Linked DNA regions of Bombyx mori. The protein of the gene in region 1 purifies or fractionates together with the protein of each later gene. This does not show direct contact. Links are inferred from orthologs where the notes say so. Each region holds a gene or a part of one and is shown on either strand. Other genes may lie near its edges. The genes, in order: intraflagellar transport protein 88 homolog and intraflagellar transport protein 46 homolog.

Region 1 (9,083 bases):
CGCAGATATCACAGATGCTAAAAACATCGACTGGTATTAATGTGTCTTACTTACTACAAAATTATTGATGCATTTTTATTCGTGATCGGCGCCCTTATCTTAACGTTCACTATAAGGTTGAAATTCCAATGGCAATAGAATAAGGGTCATATGACAAACTAGAGTGCATGGTTCCTTAGATGATAGGTATGTATAAACAATTACTCTAGGTTAGCCGTCTACTACTAGTACTAGTAGTATAGTCAGTTAGCCGTGAGCTTGCTTACTAATCTATCCAATTTAAATTATTTAAAGTACATAAAAAATTTGAACATTTCAATATTTTACCTCCCGTCATTTTCAATTACAATTGAAACTTTATTTTATTTGAGTAAATAATACACAAATATGGTTATACAAATGAAACGATCTGTTGGTAAATAGGGAAAGAAATGTATAAATTGAGAAAGACAGGTCTTTTTGATTGGAGTTACAAGACTGGGTAGGAACATGAATGTTGTTCATACTGCTTGTGAGGGCCATTTTTTTAAAGTAAACGTTTGCCTGATGTAATGTTTGACGAACCTCTTTCCTGCTGCTTGAGCCTGGCCTGCGCACGCTGTAACTCTCGCGTCCACGTGCTCGTCTCAGATAAACCTTGATCTCCGCACAATTTCACTATTAATTTCAGACCTGAAAATATTTCAAGTATCTTCTCCATCAACTTAAAGAGAAGGGAATAATTTCTGCGGAAATATAGTTACTATATTATTCGACTCATCATAATCGGTTGCTCTTGGCAGAGCAGTCGTGGTCATGTGGAATTCTTGCTCATTAAAGCCTTGACAGATGTTTTCCATAGTTTGCGAACCGAGGCCTGACGCACACACTCGTTAAATGCGGTTTCAGTAAGGTCTTTCACCTGATTTATTTATTTATTCGACTATATTTCGCATAAATACACATTAAAATGACCTTTAGAGTGTTCGCTTATTTTCATTGTCAACTTTTGCCAACATCATTACTCTGAACTGATTTACATTTTTCTCTTTGTTATTTAAATCGACTTTTCAAGATAACAAGTTAACTCACATTGTACATTGTCGGGGAAACGGGTATTCATTTTCTTATACAGGCTGAGTGCTTCCTGGTACCGGCCCGTGGCTCGGAGGCAGCCGCCCATCAGTAAGCCCCATTGTGGCTGTTCGAGTTTTAATTATTATGACTAATTATAGGTGGGCCGGGTTCCTCTAGCGTCGTCTATTTACCCCTGTATCGTTCGTTACATTTTATATCGTCGTAGCCTAAAGGATAAGACGACCGGTGCATTCGGATGTAGCGATGCACCGGTGTTCGAAGCCCGCAGGCGGGTACCAATTTTTCTAACGAAATACGTACTTAACAAATACTCACGATTGACTTCCACGGTGAAGGAATAAGATTGTGTAGTAAAAATCAAACCCGCAAAATTATAATTTGCGTAATTACTGGTAGGACCGCTTGTGAGTCCGCACGGGTAGGTACCACCACCCTGCTTATTTCTGCCGTGAAGCAGTAATGCGTTTCGGTTTGAAGCGTGGGGCAGCCGTTGTAACTATACTGAGACCTTAGAACTTATATCTCAAGGTGAGTTGCGCATTTACGTTGTAGATGTCTATGTAACCACTTAACACCAGGTGGGCTGTGAGCTCGTCCACCCATCTAAGCAATAAATAAATAAAAAAGAAAGCAATTGCCCTTGTGTTGCTAAGTAGGTGCTGCAGTATTTATAAGTACCCCACTCCCCCGTTCTGGTTGACGCTTCCAATTTTACCCGTCATGTTGAAGTTTGAATAGCTTCGATAACACCAGCATTCTTTTCAACCCATAAAAGCGTACTAACTGCCAATTCCTGCCCAACTGACGTTACGTATACATAACTTCAAAATTCTCGCATAATACAGACGTCACGATAGCGTTCGACCACGAGCAAAAGTTATTGCTATAATATCAATTTTACTATCGCTTTTGTACTTACTTGACACTTACTTTAACATGATTTATTATTTGTTTATTACTGTTTGTTGTACTTGTACATTTTATTGACTGTATAATAATTACATTAGTCGGCTCTAGTCGCGCAGCTCGTCTGTAGTACTGCAAGGCGACATCTGGCGGTGACTCGCCCGCCAGCCACTCGAGGGCTGTTAAATCGCACGGCCATATTGCTTCTACCTGAATTAAAATGTAATAATATAAACCTAAAATGCCTTATCCTTACCTTTTACTATTCAATTCGAAGGAAAACAGAGCTGCATTGTCTTTGAACGGATTTGTTTACAGAAAATAAGTGTAAGCCAATTATACCTAGAAAATAGTCTTGTTTTATAAATTGTATGTATATTTTGTTTTTATTATGAAGTCAGCTAAAAATAGAACGTAAGCTGTAAAGCATAAGGTGGTTCATCAAAACATTGTATAATCAATGGACTTATTGCTTATTTTCTATGTAAGTTGTCAAGCATCAATTTTATTAATGTATTTTTTGGTTCGCACAAATAGTCAATCAGTCTAAATTATTGCCAGAATCGAGATTTTTTTTAAATTAAACTTACGTCTTGGTAATGGTGTTTGGCTGTTTGCGTATCGCCCATCTCGCTGTGGAGCTGGGCTAGGGCGGAGGTCACGCCTGCATCCCAATTTCCAATCAGACTGTACCTGTTGTCATGGTTTGCACTGTGATTGCCATTATTAATGTTGATCAGTTTTACAATGGGGTACATACATCTAATGTATACTATCTATATATAGTCTGTGCGTGTTTGTTACAGTTCAAAAACGAATCAAATGATATCCTTCTTCAAACAGATTTTCGTTGGAATTTTCATAAGTTCCAAATTCGGTTCTTTTTATTTTATTGCCCGAGCAGGCAGACGAGCATACGGCCCACGGATGGTCAGTGGTTACCGTAGCTCATGGACGTCAGCAATGGCAGGGGCAGAGCCAAGCCGCTGCCTACAGATACAATTATTGTGACATTCAAACTAGCGAAAATGTTGAGATTGGAAATTAAGTTTTGCTATTGCTATTGAAGTCGGCTGAGAGTTAGAACTCATTCGCACGAGAGTTTTTTTAGCGCGCGTTAAAAAAGCGTTCAAATACAACAGATGCATTTATTTGTATATTATGTTCATACGTCAGCGCTTTTAATACGCGACGCTTTTTTATCGCGCAGTTTTGCATTTTGAGCGCTATGCGTTGGGCGTTACAGATTACGTTACATCAAGAACGTTATAAAAGCGCCAACGCCGAATTTTAACGCAACGTTTTTCAAACGCCCGTACGAATGAGGGCTAAGTATGGAAGTACCAGTGTTCGGCGGCGGCGTGATCGGCGGGGTGGCGGAGCGCGAGGCGCGCGAGTGCGGCGGCGGCGAGCGGGCGCAGCGTGTGCGACGGCGCGCCGCACGCACGCACCCGCGACCAGCGCGCCGCCGCTACCGACAAGCCCTCCTGACCCGCTGTTTTCTCCAGGCACAGAGCTACAAACATTCAAATTGACAATGACGCTATCTTCCGCGAGGTATCAGAATAATAGGTACACTCGTGGACAAATTGTAAGTAACAGTTATAAAAATACTGGTGGTAGGACCCCTTGTGAGTCCACACGGGGAGGTGCCACCACCTCACCTGTTTCTGCCGTGAAGTTGCGTTGCGTTTCGGTTTGAAGGGTGGGGCAGCCGTTGTAACTATACTGAGACCTTAAAACGTATAATAATATCTCAAGATGGATGGCGCATTTACGTTGTAGATGTCTATGGGCTCCATTAACCACTTAACATCAGGTGGGCTGTTAGCTCGTCTACCCATCTAAGCAATAAAAACAAAAAAAGCAAAATATTGTTCTGCCATGAAAAGTTTGAAAAACAACGTTCGAACTACTGAGTAACGTCATCTGCTCGGTGGAAGATATTACTTTCACAACCATAACTATTATTTTTATAACAGTCCGTTTGCTGTAAGAATACAAGGCAACGGGGAGAAATGGTATCCGCGCGAAATCCTTCATCTTGTCCTCGGTGTGCTTTGGGTGAATTGTGCCTCATCTGAGTTCTGAGTTCTGTTTTCTGCGAGATTCGGATGCAGATTGTTGAGCGAAAGGGTATTTTAGTCGTTTATCTCTGATATCTCTCTGCCGCCCTTATACATAGGCGGATGTTTGGCGTTCTGTTTCCTCCTGACCGAAAAAAGGGCTTAAGAATATTATATACCTAAATCATGTGCAGCGATAAGGTCGGCCGGGTCGAGGTGTGTGGCCGCCGTGAGGGTTTCGGCTGCTTCCCGCCACGCCAGCTCCGGCGCCGCGTCCTCCGACAGCGACGCTTGCAGCGACGACAGCGCGAGCGTCACGCGCGCCGCGCACGAGTACGGATCGTCACGAGACGCCGACTCTGATAGTGAACGAGCCTCGCTCCAATTGCCCAGCTTGAATATAAACAAAAAAAAAACAATAGCACATTGTTGTCTGTTCCGTTGGTTGCGTTAGTTTCTAACGCGACTCGAACAGAAAAACTACGATCGAATTATTCTAAAGCACTACATATTATTTATTATTACAGACCGAATCAAAAAGCTTCTAATTCGATGTCTCTGATTAGTAACACTACCTTTTAATGGGTCGAAAGAATTACAAAAACCACAGAATTGAAGACTTAAACCATGATCAGAAAAAAATCTATATTGGTGTCAAAAGACAGTGATTTATCAAATATTAATCGGCAGAGACTCTGTATGGTTGATCAACGTACAACGACTATTTCTTATAGCAAAGGTTTGTTTGGCTAAGGATATAACGAATTATTCCAACTTATCCCGACCGTATAATGTGCGTTGTGCTTGTGAAATGTCATTCCCGCTCCTGCGGACAGAATGGAAAGCAGTCGACGTCGCCCCAAACATGTCATTATTTCGGATCCTCCCGATCCACTAACGATGCTTTTAGGTCCCTCAAGCACCGGTCATCGTTCTCGTCGAACCCGTCGCTTGCGACGAAGGGCTCGACGAGTAAATTAACCCACAGACACAGCCCACTGAGTTTCTCGCCGGATCTTCTCAGTGGGTCGCGTTTCCGATCCGGTGGTAGATTCTGCGAAGTACGCCTCTTGCTAGGGTTCGTGTTAGCAACGTCGTCAGGTTTGAGCCCCGTGAGCTCACCTACTAGTTAAGGTTACGCTGATATAGCCTCTCAAGGCTCTCAGCTTAGGTATGAAAAAAAAAGTGAAATGTAAAACTTACGGCGTAGGCAACGAAGGCTGCATCAGCATTGGCCTCGGCTCGTAGCACTCGGTCCTCAGCGTGCGCCTTCGCAACGGCCTTTAGTCGCTGCAGTACGGCGAGCCCGGAGCGGGCGGTGCGGGAGGCGCGCAGGGACGAGAGCGCCGCGCCAAGCTCCAGCCGCCCCCCCGCCGCGCCGCCCGCGCCCCCCGCACCGCTGTACCCGCGCAACGCCTCCACACACCACGACATGCCAGTGCTACCCCATATGACATCGCTCTCTTTAACCAGTGCCGAAGCCAGGTTTGAGCCCCGTGAGCTCACCTACTCGTCCGTTAACGCTAAGCTATCAAGGCTATCAGCATAGGTAGAAAAAAAAACTGTGCCGAAAGGCAGTTGACACCAATAAACATCATGCACAATATCAACGCGACTTCTTAGAATAACGATTTCTACCTTTCACACCATAGCATATAATTACCTCGCGGCAAGACGATGGGTTCGTCCCGTATGGTCGTTGGGACCTACAATAGGCACCCAACGGGCTATGCTTCTAACATTTCTGATGTCGAAGAGCGACATTGACCAGTCATTGGCAGGTATGTGAACGAAAGCACAAAAAAACTACGATCGTAATAAATTTGCCTATTTCATTTTATTAGTCGTTAGCGAAAACTCATGCACATAAATTGCAACTAGTGAAATCCGCTCTCATGATGCATTGTGACTATCGCTAATTGCATGAAAAATAACTAACCCGGACAATAATTATGCTATATACTATAGCAAAAACCTTCCCTGGGGTATCAAAAGCAAGACATCTGTTTCATCATCGGATGAATGGTTTAGAAAACAGATATTGATTTTTATTTAAATGTATTGGCACTTGTTACACTTTCGAACGGGATCGAAATATTAACCGCCTTGGAATAATAGTAATCTACCATTTGTACCGAAAAACATGACTAAGACTATCATTACCGGCAAACGGAGATTTTGCGCGCAAGGACTCGGTTCACTCTATTCAATTATAACTAGTCAGGTCATAAGTGAGTCGACTATTATCAAAGCCGGCAATCTGACTTTTGGACAATGATTGGTAAATCAGAATAACGAATTATTGACTTTGTATTTCATTGGCAGTCACAAAACTCTTCGGAACGACAACTTAGATAAATAACAGATTAACTATTAACCTTTATTTAATGCAGGTTTTGAACCGTATTCTTTGAAGGAGACGATTATATTCAAATCAATCTGTATTGACATATCAATAAAAAATTTTTGTCCAAATGCACAGATTGCCACCTTTGATAATAGACGACTCAAGTATTGTCACACAGTAAAAACTTTTCTTTTAGAATGCTGGTCACAAAAAAGTTTATTGAATTCGAATTTCGAATTGTTCATGAAAATAAAAATGTATACCGTAAAATGGGGCGATTAGGGACAAATTCCAACTTTATGAGCAATTTTAAGGTAGTTGTTGATGTATATAATGCTATATCAGGATCAAAATGATTGAGTCTTGGGGGCATCTTTGTTGTCTAATTTAAAATTATGCAACTAGCATTCCAGTTTAAGCAAAAAATGCAAAAATAGGTGTAATCCCTATTTACCCGAAACTTGCGGTTAATTGGGACGAAATGAGAAATTTGCTAGGGTTGGCACTACTTTTATTTTTATATATAGTTTTAATTTATTTATTTATTTAGTTGCACCAACAAAGTGATCATCAATAAAAAAAATTGAAAAACTGACAAAAGTACATGGCAGACATCACCTCAATTATAGGTGCAATCGACAGTGCTGATATTTCAATCTGGGTTAAGAGATTAGGTGTGTCGGTTATTCCATGGATTAATCAGATGAATACCCCCACTCTGAACAAATATTAAATATTTTATTATGTATTACTTAGACATTTTTGTCCACCTTGAGATTTCATTGATCTTGTTACATGTCTCTGCAAAATCGACTTACTTATATTAAATTGCTTATCTATTTCAACTAAAGACTTATTCCCAATTTCGCTTCGAATAAACCAGATTTTTACCAACAAATTTAAAAAATATTGTTATAACTACATAGACAATCCTATAAACCTGTACCTATTTATACTTAGGTCGTTTCCATTTCACGTATTCTCATCCCAATTGACCCCTTTTTCGTTGTTATTTGTACCTAAGACGTCCCCAATATCCCCAAAAACAACAGATTTTTACATGTATTTTTATTTAATCAAATACATTAAAACCAATAACAACTGAGACTTACCTTTAATATATATGCTGGTTCAAACACTAAATAACGTTTATAAATCATAGTCGTCTTCTATTATTATCAAATAAATAAAAGAGAGCAAAGTTTCTAGCACTAAAATAATTACCACCACAGGAAGTTAATTTGAAACGCGATTTTTCATAAGTTAGCAGGTATTATCATGCATATTCAGAATTGTTTTGTGAACTTTCAACATTCTACTATTAAACTACAAAAAATGGAAGATTTTGCAACGAATATAAAACTTATATTGAGCGTCGAAAGATTTTCCCGGTTTTTTCCCGATTCGCCTCTCAATCCCTAATCGCCCCATTTTACCGGTACTTTTAGAATTTTACTCATTTTTAAATATGGAGTGGACGCTTAAAGAAGACCGTGTTGCAGTTATTGCGTTGCATCGTTGCGGTTACGCGCCAATTCAAATTTTTAACATACTGAAAAATTTGAATATAACCAAAAGATTCGTTTATCGTACCATCAAACGATACAATGAAGACTCTAGTGTAGATGACAGGTCAAGAAGTGGTCGCCCTCGGTCTGTTAGGATTCCAGCAGTGATAAAAGCTGTGAAGGCGCGAATTCAAAGAAATCCCAAACTTAAGCAGAAACTGTTGGCCCTTCAGATGGGGTTAAGCAGAACCACGGTGAAAAGGGTGTTAAATGAAGACTTAGGGCTTCGGGCATATCGAAGAAAAACAGGACATCGTTTGAATGCTCGTCTAATGGACCTGAGACTGAAGAGATGCCGCGCTTTGTTGAAGCGGTACGCGGGAAAAAAATATCGGGAAATTCTTTTTTCGGATGAAAAAATTTTTACTGTAGAAGAGAGCTACAACAAACAAAATGATAAGGTGTACGCACACAGTAGTGAAGAAGCGAGCAACCGTATTCCGCGTGTCCAACGAGGTCATTTTCCATCCTCGCTCATGGTATGGTTGGGAGTTTCTTATTGGGGCTTAACAGAGGTACATTTTTGTGAGAAAGGTGTAAAAACGAATGCAGTTGTGTATCAAAATACAGTCCTGACGAACCTTGTGGAACCTGTTTCTCATACCATGTTCAATAACAGGCACTGGGTATTCCAACAAGATTCGGCGCCAGCTCATAGAGGGAAGAGCACACAAGACTGGCTGGCAGCGCGTGAAATCGACTTCATCCGGCACGAAGACTGGCCCTCCACCAGTCCAGATTTGAATCCGTTAGATTACAAGATATGGCAACACTTGGAGGAAAAGGCGTGCTCAAAGCCTCATCCCAATTTGGAGTCACTCAAGACATCCTTGACTAAGGCAGCCGCCGATATTGACATGGACCTCGTTCGTGCTGCGATAGACGACTGGCCGCGCAGATTGAAGGCCTGTATTCAAAATCACGGAGGTCATTTTGAATAAACTTTAGTGTCATAAGAATCTATGTTTTGTTAAGTTCATTTTGGTATATGAATGGTTACATAATGAATAAACTTGTTTCAATTATTTTACATTAAACATGTGACAGAATTTATGACCTGACTAGGTATAATGGACAGTCACCCTGAATCATCGTCCGTCCCCGCTGTGGGTGTGAGGA
Region 2 (9,098 bases), on another chromosome or scaffold:
ATCAAATGATGATAGTGCTATAACTACAGAAATACATACAGAAGATGAAGACACCATTGAAGGCCCCTTCCTTGAACTCGAAGACGATAATGATGCCAATGCTACTGTGGACCATAAAAGAACAGACATGATGAACTTTAGTGACGCACCGGCAGCAGAGAATGATGAAAATGCTGAAGGTGAATTGTTCATTGATGCGGAAGCCTTTGAGTTCCTCCTCAATCAAAACAAGACGAATGTTGTAGCCGATAGTGGCAAAGAAAGCCTTTTCTTAAAGTTTGATCCTCTGTTCGCTAAACGGATGTCTACAGAAAGTATGGCGGCTGCTCTGCAGAAAATACAACAGAGGCAAAGCACTCCTACTAATAATATAAACACACAAGAAAACTTTACTAATGATGCAGGACTTTCTACCCTCAATGTTACCTTTGAAACGGACTACCATAGCATCACGGGCGACGACCTAAACGTGACTGTTACCAAACCAATGATGGTAGTAACTCCGGCTGTGAACCCCGCGCCTACAAGAAAGTCCACAACTCCTACCAGATCGAACAGACGTTCTATTACATTCACGTCTCCCGCCATGGCCGTTATTGATAGACTTCTCTCTCTTAGTGGCAATAATACTGTCCTCGAACCGGAGCCGACTCAGTTCAGTCCAGAACAATACGAAGCGGACTTAGCACTGACCCAACTTCGCGAAATGTTAGCAGAAAAAGAGACGCACGTTTACAATTTAAGATCGGAGAGCAAAGAGCTTAAAGAGAGATTGACGAATCTAGAATCACAAATGAAAGTTCTAGAAACAGAAGGACAGCAACGGTTGCAAAAGATAAACGATTTGAACGAAAAACTCGCCGAAAAGACTAAAATTAATAAGAGCATGGCGGCAGTCGTTGAAGAATATGAAAGAACGATTGCGAGCCTGATAGCGGATACGGAACAAGACAAGAAACGACACGCAGAAGAACGCATAGCTTTGATTAACGAGAGGGATGAGCAAACTGCTCACTTGGCCAGCATGGAGGTCTCATTCAACGATCTACACAGCAAATACGAAAAAAGTAAACAAGTTATATTGAGTTATAAAGCGAACGAAGAAAAATACAAGAATTCACTGAAAGAAATGGAAGAAAACGTCACGAAAATGCATAAAAATTACGAATTGCTAAAACAGCATGCGACCTCGAAACTAAATCACGCCAACGACGAATTGCAGAGGCTGAACAGATCTCACGAGGCGGAGGTGGTCAAACTAAACGCTATGATCAAACGCAAGGAGCTTCATATAACGTCGCTGGAGGAGACCTTAGCTCAGAAAACTAAGGCGAACGAGGAACTGACCGCGATATGCGACGAACTCATAAACAAAGTCGGCTGAACTAATTTTAGACGAACATAAAAACATATTGTTGTTTTTTTATTGCGTGTCTGTGATTCGAGCTCTTGTTTCGGTCGCTTGTGGGCTTATCGTTTGTGATAAGTCGCATTAAGTTTACGTTTACCCTTCGCCAAGTTTCGTGCCAAAATATTACGTAACTCGCGGCTCTCGTGTAGCGCCAAGACTGTCTAGTGTGATACGAAATTACAATTGATTTTTGATATAATTTTTTTTCCATAAAACACTGTGATCTTGTCAACAATTATGTGCCTTTTAGAGTGTAAAACATTCAATATTTCTAAACGAGAAATGCACTGTTTGTATTATGCTGGACATAACTAAACAGTGTTTTTAAAAAAAAAAGATGATGAAGTGAATAGTCTGAATTACTTGTGAATTGAAACTTTAAATCTCGTAAAATTTTACATTGTTAAATAATTATGTAGAATCTTATTGGATATATTTGTACCTATAGAGAATAGAAAAATGTGTAAAATAAATATATAGATATCCTTAAAAGTTGTTATTCACAGAGATTACTTATTTTATGTATCTCTAAAAACAATGAAAACGATAGTAATTGGAGCTTTAAAAATGCGTAGCCATGTTTTTGGAAATGAACAACGAATTGTCGATATCTGTCTCGTTATAATAACTCGCGTTAAGATTAGTGTAAGATTGTAATTAATAAATTTACATTTTTAGTCCCGCAAAATTGTTCTAATTCATTTTAAATTTAAAGTATACCACATAAATCCCTAACCACCCATGAACTTGCATTACTATAAACCAATAAGGATTAAGGATTCCTTGCAAGTTTCATCATTATTGCGCATGTCCAATCATTTTGTAATCTGTACTCGATGTAATGTCGCTAAAAATATTAAAATGCGTACAGAAAAGTAAGTCAGATAAAAACGCTGTAAGATTGTGTTAAACAAATTTAACTTTAGATTAATGTTAGTACATAGTTTAATAGTTGTAATAAATTAGTCACACTCTTTTCTTTCCTAAGCACGAGTTGGCACGGTTTGTATGTGCCAATTATTTTTGTATGATATTGAAATTTGACATTATTTTTAGTTGAATAAAGTTATTGACCTATTTGTATGTTAGTGTTTTATTCTTCTTGCCGTGTACCTTAGTTCTGTTTATTCTAGTTTTAAAACAAAAGTATTTGTGAGAAGCAAAAATTAGGCACAGATAATAATTTCTTTCAAAGTAAACATTTCTCCTGTTCCCTGGCCAAACTAATGGATGACAAACAAGGATCTATTTTCAACAATTTTGACGCTAGGCGGGAAAATTATAACGGACTAGCTGTACCCGTTCGCTACACTGGGCATTTAAAATTAACATTATTATTTCTCACCCCCACAAAGATTCTCATCATTAACGCCCCCGCAACTGGTGTAGGGAGTGGAACACTCATATAAATATTAGCTTATCCATTAAGTACATGTATTTTCTACATGGATACCAAGTTTCAAGTCAATCGAATGCATGGTTCAGTAGTAATAACGGAACATCAGTAAAAACCACTATAGATTTATATATTAGTATAGATAATACGGATTCGGCCGTTGTACAGGCTTGCTGTTCTTTATTTTGAAATAAAAGTAGCTCTAGGAAGTTCAAGTCACATTCCCATATTTGATTGATAATTAGACGCATTTACATTCGCTGAAGGTCATGAAGAAACTCAATCTCGCAGATGAGCGAGAGGCCTTTTTTTTCCTACCTAAGATGATAGCCTTGAGAGGCTATTTCAGCGTAACCTTAACTAGTAGGTGAGCTCACGGGCCTCAAACCGGAGTGATGTACTGACCCTAGCAAGAGCAGTGCTTCGCAGAATCTACCACCGGATCGGAAACGCGCCCTACTGAGAAGATCCGGCAAGAAACTCCGTGGACTGTGTCTATGGGTCAATGTGTTCGTCGAGTAACGTTCGTCGTTCCCTTCGTCGCAAGCGACGGGTTCGACGAGGACGGTGACCGATGCTTGTGGTACCTAAAAGCACCGTTAATGAATCGGGAGGATCCGTAATGACGTGTTTTGGGCGACGTCGACTGATTACCATTCGGTGTAGGTACAGGATCGGGTATGTAGTTTCCAGCGGCCACGACAAGAGCGTTCTCATGTCGTGCCGCCTTCTCAAAGTGGCGCAATGATGCCGACTGTAGATACTTACTGACTGATCAAGTTCCAGGTCATCATGCAGATTGAGCGGCCTAAATGCAACTTTTATATGTGTGCCCATGTCCTTTTATGAACACATTTCATGTTACGATATGACGAAAGATATCAAAATCGTGCACTTTTTATATTATGGGTGTAATGAGGAACAATACTAAAAAGTAAATAATTTTAAACCATTTTACTTATTCGGCTTAATAATATTCGAAAGTATAGAATTGTCCCAAAATGAATAGAAAAAAAAAATGTAGGTATCTATGTTTTATTATTATTTGTGAATCTTGTTATTGTATATTTTTAATTTAAATAACTGAATCTTCATGGTTTAGTTTTGTTTTATTTTACTGCACACTTTTCCACCTTTGTGACCTACGGACTTCTGATTTTGGTTTGCCGGAAAAGTTAGAGTTCCCACTTTCCCACTTGCCTTTGAAGCATACAATTTACATATTTTTTACTGGTGGCAGGACTTCCTGTGAGTCCGCACGGGTAGGTACCACCGCCCCGCCTATTTCTGCCGTGAAGCAGTAATGCGTTTCGGTTTGAAGGGCGGGGCAGCCGTTGTAACTATACTGAGACCTTAGAACTTATGTCTCAAGGTGGGTGGTGCATTTACGTTAATGTCTATGGGCTCCAATAACCACTTAACACCGGGTGGGCTGTGAGCTCGTCCATCCATCTAAGCAATAAAAAAAAAAAACAATTTAAATTGAGTCGTATGTGTAATATTTCTTTGTACAGTAAACAATAAATAACAATAATACTAATTTTATAATAATATGCATTTTTATTTCAATTCAACTGTTAACTTTTTTCTTTAAGTAAAAGTCATTAGACGCGTTTGTCACGATCAGACGTAATGGGTTTTGCGTCTACAAAAAAATGAATCTAACGTAAATTAATAAAACCACATCGCAAAACTTTCGTACCAATCCGTGCCACGTGAGCGAAAAACATCCGATGAGACCACAAAAAGGTGCTATTTCCATGCAGGTTCCGCGATAGACACACCGAAACGCGGTTCGCTCGTTTCCATGGCAACTAATGACAAACAGTCACAGACGGCCAGGACTCCTGAGAATGTTCCAATGTATGACGAGACCGTGGTGGTAGACGCTAGCGAGATCGACAGCCCCTCGAGCGACGAGGAAGTGGTCAGAGCTACTATGGCCAAGTTCAATCCCCCGGTGAGACACACAGCGCGACACGACTTCGATTCTGACAGTCAAAGCGATTCGGGATCTGACAACTTCTTGGGTAACACGTCCTTAGAAGATAAGGTAGGTCTTTGTCTTTTTCTGAACTGTTTCCGAGTTTTATGAATGAATAATCGTACTAAATTTACCGACATAATATATGGTAATATGTTAACAAGAAAACTATAGATAGCACTTATTGAAATATTCGAAATAAAAATGAGCACTCTTAAATTCGAGAATGTTTTTTTTTTGCGTTCTTCGCTACCGATGGCAGGCGTTTTGCTTAATCGAAATGACGAAAAATCTATAGAAATATTTATATCAGTGAGCAGTCAACATTTATAGTTTGATTTTTGATTTTTTACTTGTGGTAGGACCTCTTGTGAGTCCGTGCGTGTGGGTACCACCACATTGCCTATTTCGGCTGCGAAGCAGTAATGCGTTTCAGGTTGAAGGGTGGAGCAGCCGTTGTATATACTTGAGACCTTAGAACTTATATCTCAAGGTGGGTGGCGCATTTACGTTGTGGATGTCTATGGGCTCCAGTAACCACTTAACACCAGGCGGGCTGTGAGCTCGTCCACCTATCTCAGCAATAAAAAAAAAATTATAATGCTAAGTTAAAAAAACAATGGCTGCGATCGGGTTAACGAATTTATACCGCACGGACATCGTAGTGCAATGATCTGTTTGAAAAAATGCACCAGGAATTTTCTATTCTCATCCGCGTTTAACGCGTTTCCTTGAGATCTCATATCAAAGTGTTTTATGGTGGCCGCGTCCAGACGTTGTACGTTGTTGCAGCTGTAAGCGGTTAGCTTCAGCAAATAATATTGTTTAGTTTATAACATCATTAACGTTTGTACCGAGAAATATTTTGAGATTCAATGATTTATATTTATTGTTTATTTAGCTCACTGCCCGTTGTAACTGTAGTGAGACTTTAGAACTTAGAACCTTAGAACATGAGTTGTAAGGTTTCACTTTTAACAGTACAACGGCTGTCCCGCCCTTCAAACCGAAATACATTACTACTTCACGACAGAAATAGGTATTGTAGTGGTACCTAACCATACGGACTCACAAGACGTGTTACCCCCAGTAAGGCTGGCTTACGAGGATCTCTGAAGATACAAGCATTATGTTTTAGGTACCAGACAAGAAGCCGCTTGTGCCCGAGAAAGCGAATGATGTCCAGAAAAACGTTACGAAGGTTACCAAGGCAGGCAGCGAGAGACCCAAAGCGTCCTCCAAACGTAATGATTCTTCTAATTCTGGTGAGTTAAAAAAATCAAATACTGCTACAGACCGCAGATAACAGTCTTTATACCTCTAAACCGATAGAGGTACTCACGTCCCACCTGGTGCTAAATGGTCACCGGAGCCCATAAGTCCTACGAACAAATGGTCTTGAAAAATAAAACCTCTAAGTGATGTTTAATAGTACACCGAAATAACCCAAACTATTCAAAAAGTCCAACTCTACCGTACAATAGACTGTCTTATCACTAAAACTGTAACTATACTGTGTAGGCTGTGAGCTCGTCCACTCATCCAAGCAATAAAAAAAAGTATAGGCTACTATATAAGGCCTTCAGCGCAAAAGTGGTCTAAGCTTACCTGAGCTTACTATAATAAGTATGGAGACAATGAGGTCTGAATTTGCTGACCTGTACTGACTGCCGACCGAACCTGTAGACCGAATGGTATACAGTCGACGTTGTCCAAAACACGTCATTACGGATCCTCCCGATCCATTAACGGTGCTTTTAGGTACTACAAGCACCGGTTACCGTCCTCGTCGAACCCGTCGCTTACGACGAAGGGCTCGACGAGCGAATTAACCCATAGACACAGCCCACTGAGTTTCTCGCCGAATCTTCTGAGTGGGTCGCGTTTCTGATCCGATGGTAAATTCTGCGAAGTAGTGCTCTTGCTAGGCCCGGTGTTAGCAACAGTCCGGTTTGAGCATCGTGAGCTCACCTACACGTTAGGGTGAAGCTGAAATAGCCTCTCAAGGCTATTAGCATAGGTAGGAAGAACAAAAAAACTACGAATATCAAATAATGTAGGATAGGCCACTTTTGTGCTGACGGCCTCATATATGGCACTATAGTATAGCGTAGTCTGAAATCAGCTTTAATCATCTTATAATTCAGAAACAGATAGCGGAGAAATGGAACGCGAGCGACCCGACCCCCTGATAGGCAGCGGTCGCAAGCGAGGCGGCGTCGTGATACCAGCTGAAGGCGCGTACGATCCCAAGCTGTATCAGGATCTGAAGGTTCCGCCTGAAATGGAAAACATCTTTCAGTATATTATGAAGTGAGAACCTATGTCTTTACAGTTTTCGTTTGCTGCACACGAGTTTCTTTGACTACGATGATAAGCATTTTCTGATGGCAAGTGATTGTGGACTCAATAGGCGTTTTGCCTTATGTGTATGCACAAACTTTACATACATTATATACGACCTGTACCCACTGCTGTCCCGTTCCATATATGTATACATATTCTTAAAATAATTATTGCACAGAAGAATGAAGTACCTTTGAAAATTAGGAGAATCTACTTTTACAACAAATTTGTAAAGTAAAATCGACAGTAAGAAACGCGAGATTAAACCGTAAAAATAGTTTTAAATCCGATTACGTCTCGCCGATACCGCAAAGTAAATAAGCTCAATGAAATAATTCTCATTTTCTTATTGTGAAAAAGTCGTTATATTAGTCCAGCCGGTCAAGTTTTAGAGTAAGAAAACAGTTAAATACGAAATATTGACTTCGACTTTGTTAAACAGGAATTTTAAATTCGACCCGGTGCAACACTATGCTACTGTAAATTTTATAGTAGTTTTTATATTTATGTACCAGCGGCCGGCGCGCTAATATGCGAATCCTCGGGCATTGATGACGTATATGTAACTGATCCATGTTACGAAAACGCTTTTTTTTGTCAGGAGGAAATCACCGGACTTCCGCCCTCCACTGGGGATGGAGGGCGGGGCATGTCGGAGTCGAACCGACTAAAGCCTCCTGTCGCTCAACAACCAGCATCCAAATCTCGCATGAGACATAACTAATGAAAAAGCAAAGGGGAGAAAGCAAAGCGTTTAGTGCGGAGCACATCTCTCCCATCACCCTCTCCCTCTTTTGTTGGTAGTCGGGTTTCAATATTTCCTTCGTGCTCTTTTCGAGATTGAATTTTTAAAAGCCAATTATTTATACTCCACTGCACCCGCGTTGGAACTTAATATGTGCCACGAGATATTTTCTCCGGTTAACGAGCGATTTTAGGTCATCAAAATAAAATTAGCAAAATGACTGTTGATTCTAGGACAGTGGGAGTTACGATAGTAATTATTGTGAACCCGTACGGGTAGATACCACTGCTCCGCTTATTTCTGCCGCCAAAGAACCACGGGTTCTGGTTTATAGAATAATCTGAACATTGTGTATCTGAAATTGTCTATTTTCCCGCTCAAATATTGTCCCAAAAACACAGCCCACTGAGTTTCTCGCCGGATCTTCTTAGTGGGTCGCGATTCCGATTCTGTGGTAGATTCTCCGAAACACCGCTCTTGCTAGGGCTAGTGTTAGCAATTTCTCTTAGGTTGATCCTCACCTATTCGTCCGCGAGAAGCTGGGATATCCCCTTAGGATGTCAGCAAATCGGTAGGTAGGGAAAAAAGCTCAAACATTGTTTGACATGTATCACGGTAAAAACATAAAGAAAAACAAAGACGAACGCATTCCTAAATTTTCATAGTTATCAAGATATCCCAGAACATCAATTATAAATTATTAACGGAATAGTTAGTGCGCTCTACATATCGTCCTTTAATGCGATATATCAAATTTACAGACATGTGGGCGAAACGCCTACAGTTTAACCTTGCTAGATCTAGAGTTAAACTAAAATTAACGGTTAACAACTCTTTAGTAATAGACATTAGGTCGAATTCGAGCTGGCAATTGAAATCTAATAAGATTATTAGCGTCAACCAGGTTAGGGTTTGCAGTGGTCCGAGGAAGGTTTATTTACTCTTTCAAAACCAATATTCGATTGTGTCTGTATTTGTAAAAACTAAGTTTACCTTTTTATCATCATAGTCGGTTGTTCTTGGCAGAGCAGTCGTGGTCATGTGGAATTCTTGTCTATCAAAGCCTTGACAGATATTCCCATAGTTTATAGATATATTTCCATAGTTTGCAAATTGAGGCTTGGCGCACGCACTCGTTAAGTGGGGTTTTAGTAAGGTCTTTCACCTGATCAGTCTAGCTTTACCTTTTAATGTTGTAAAAATAGGTTCCACTGCC

Evidence for each region.
Region 2: the proteins of intraflagellar transport protein 88 homolog (region 1) and intraflagellar transport protein 46 homolog purify together in Homo sapiens (affinity purification with mass spectrometry; 3 studies listed by BioGRID and IntAct, with this or other methods). This does not show direct contact. The link is inferred for Bombyx mori from reciprocal best matches to the Homo sapiens genes IFT88 and IFT46.

Annotation. Positions count from the first base shown.
Region 1 is NC_085119.1:6,958,603-6,967,685, reverse strand, and holds part of intraflagellar transport protein 88 homolog, read right to left. Parts: coding exon 9,047-9,083; intron 5,491-9,046; coding exon 5,253-5,490; intron 4,443-5,252; coding exon 4,229-4,442; intron 3,500-4,228; coding exon 3,328-3,499; intron 2,677-3,327; coding exon 2,574-2,676; intron 2,194-2,573; coding exon 2,080-2,193; intron 1,181-2,079; coding exon 1,072-1,180; intron 673-1,071; coding exon 565-672; intron 18-564; coding exon 1-17. UniProt on the Homo sapiens protein: Positively regulates primary cilium biogenesis. Also involved in autophagy since it is required for trafficking of ATG16L and the expansion of the autophagic compartment.
Region 2 is NC_085131.1:2,005,759-2,014,856, forward strand, and holds the start of intraflagellar transport protein 46 homolog, read left to right. Parts: upstream 1-4,437; 5' UTR 4,438-4,614; coding exon 4,615-4,860; intron 4,861-5,929; coding exon 5,930-6,056; intron 6,057-6,938; coding exon 6,939-7,104; intron 7,105-9,098. Other genes in the region: putative leucine-rich repeat-containing protein DDB_G0290503, read left to right, coding at 1-1,384. UniProt on the Homo sapiens protein: Forms part of a complex involved in intraflagellar transport (IFT), the bi-directional movement of particles required for the assembly, maintenance and functioning of primary cilia. May play a role in chondrocyte maturation and skeletogenesis.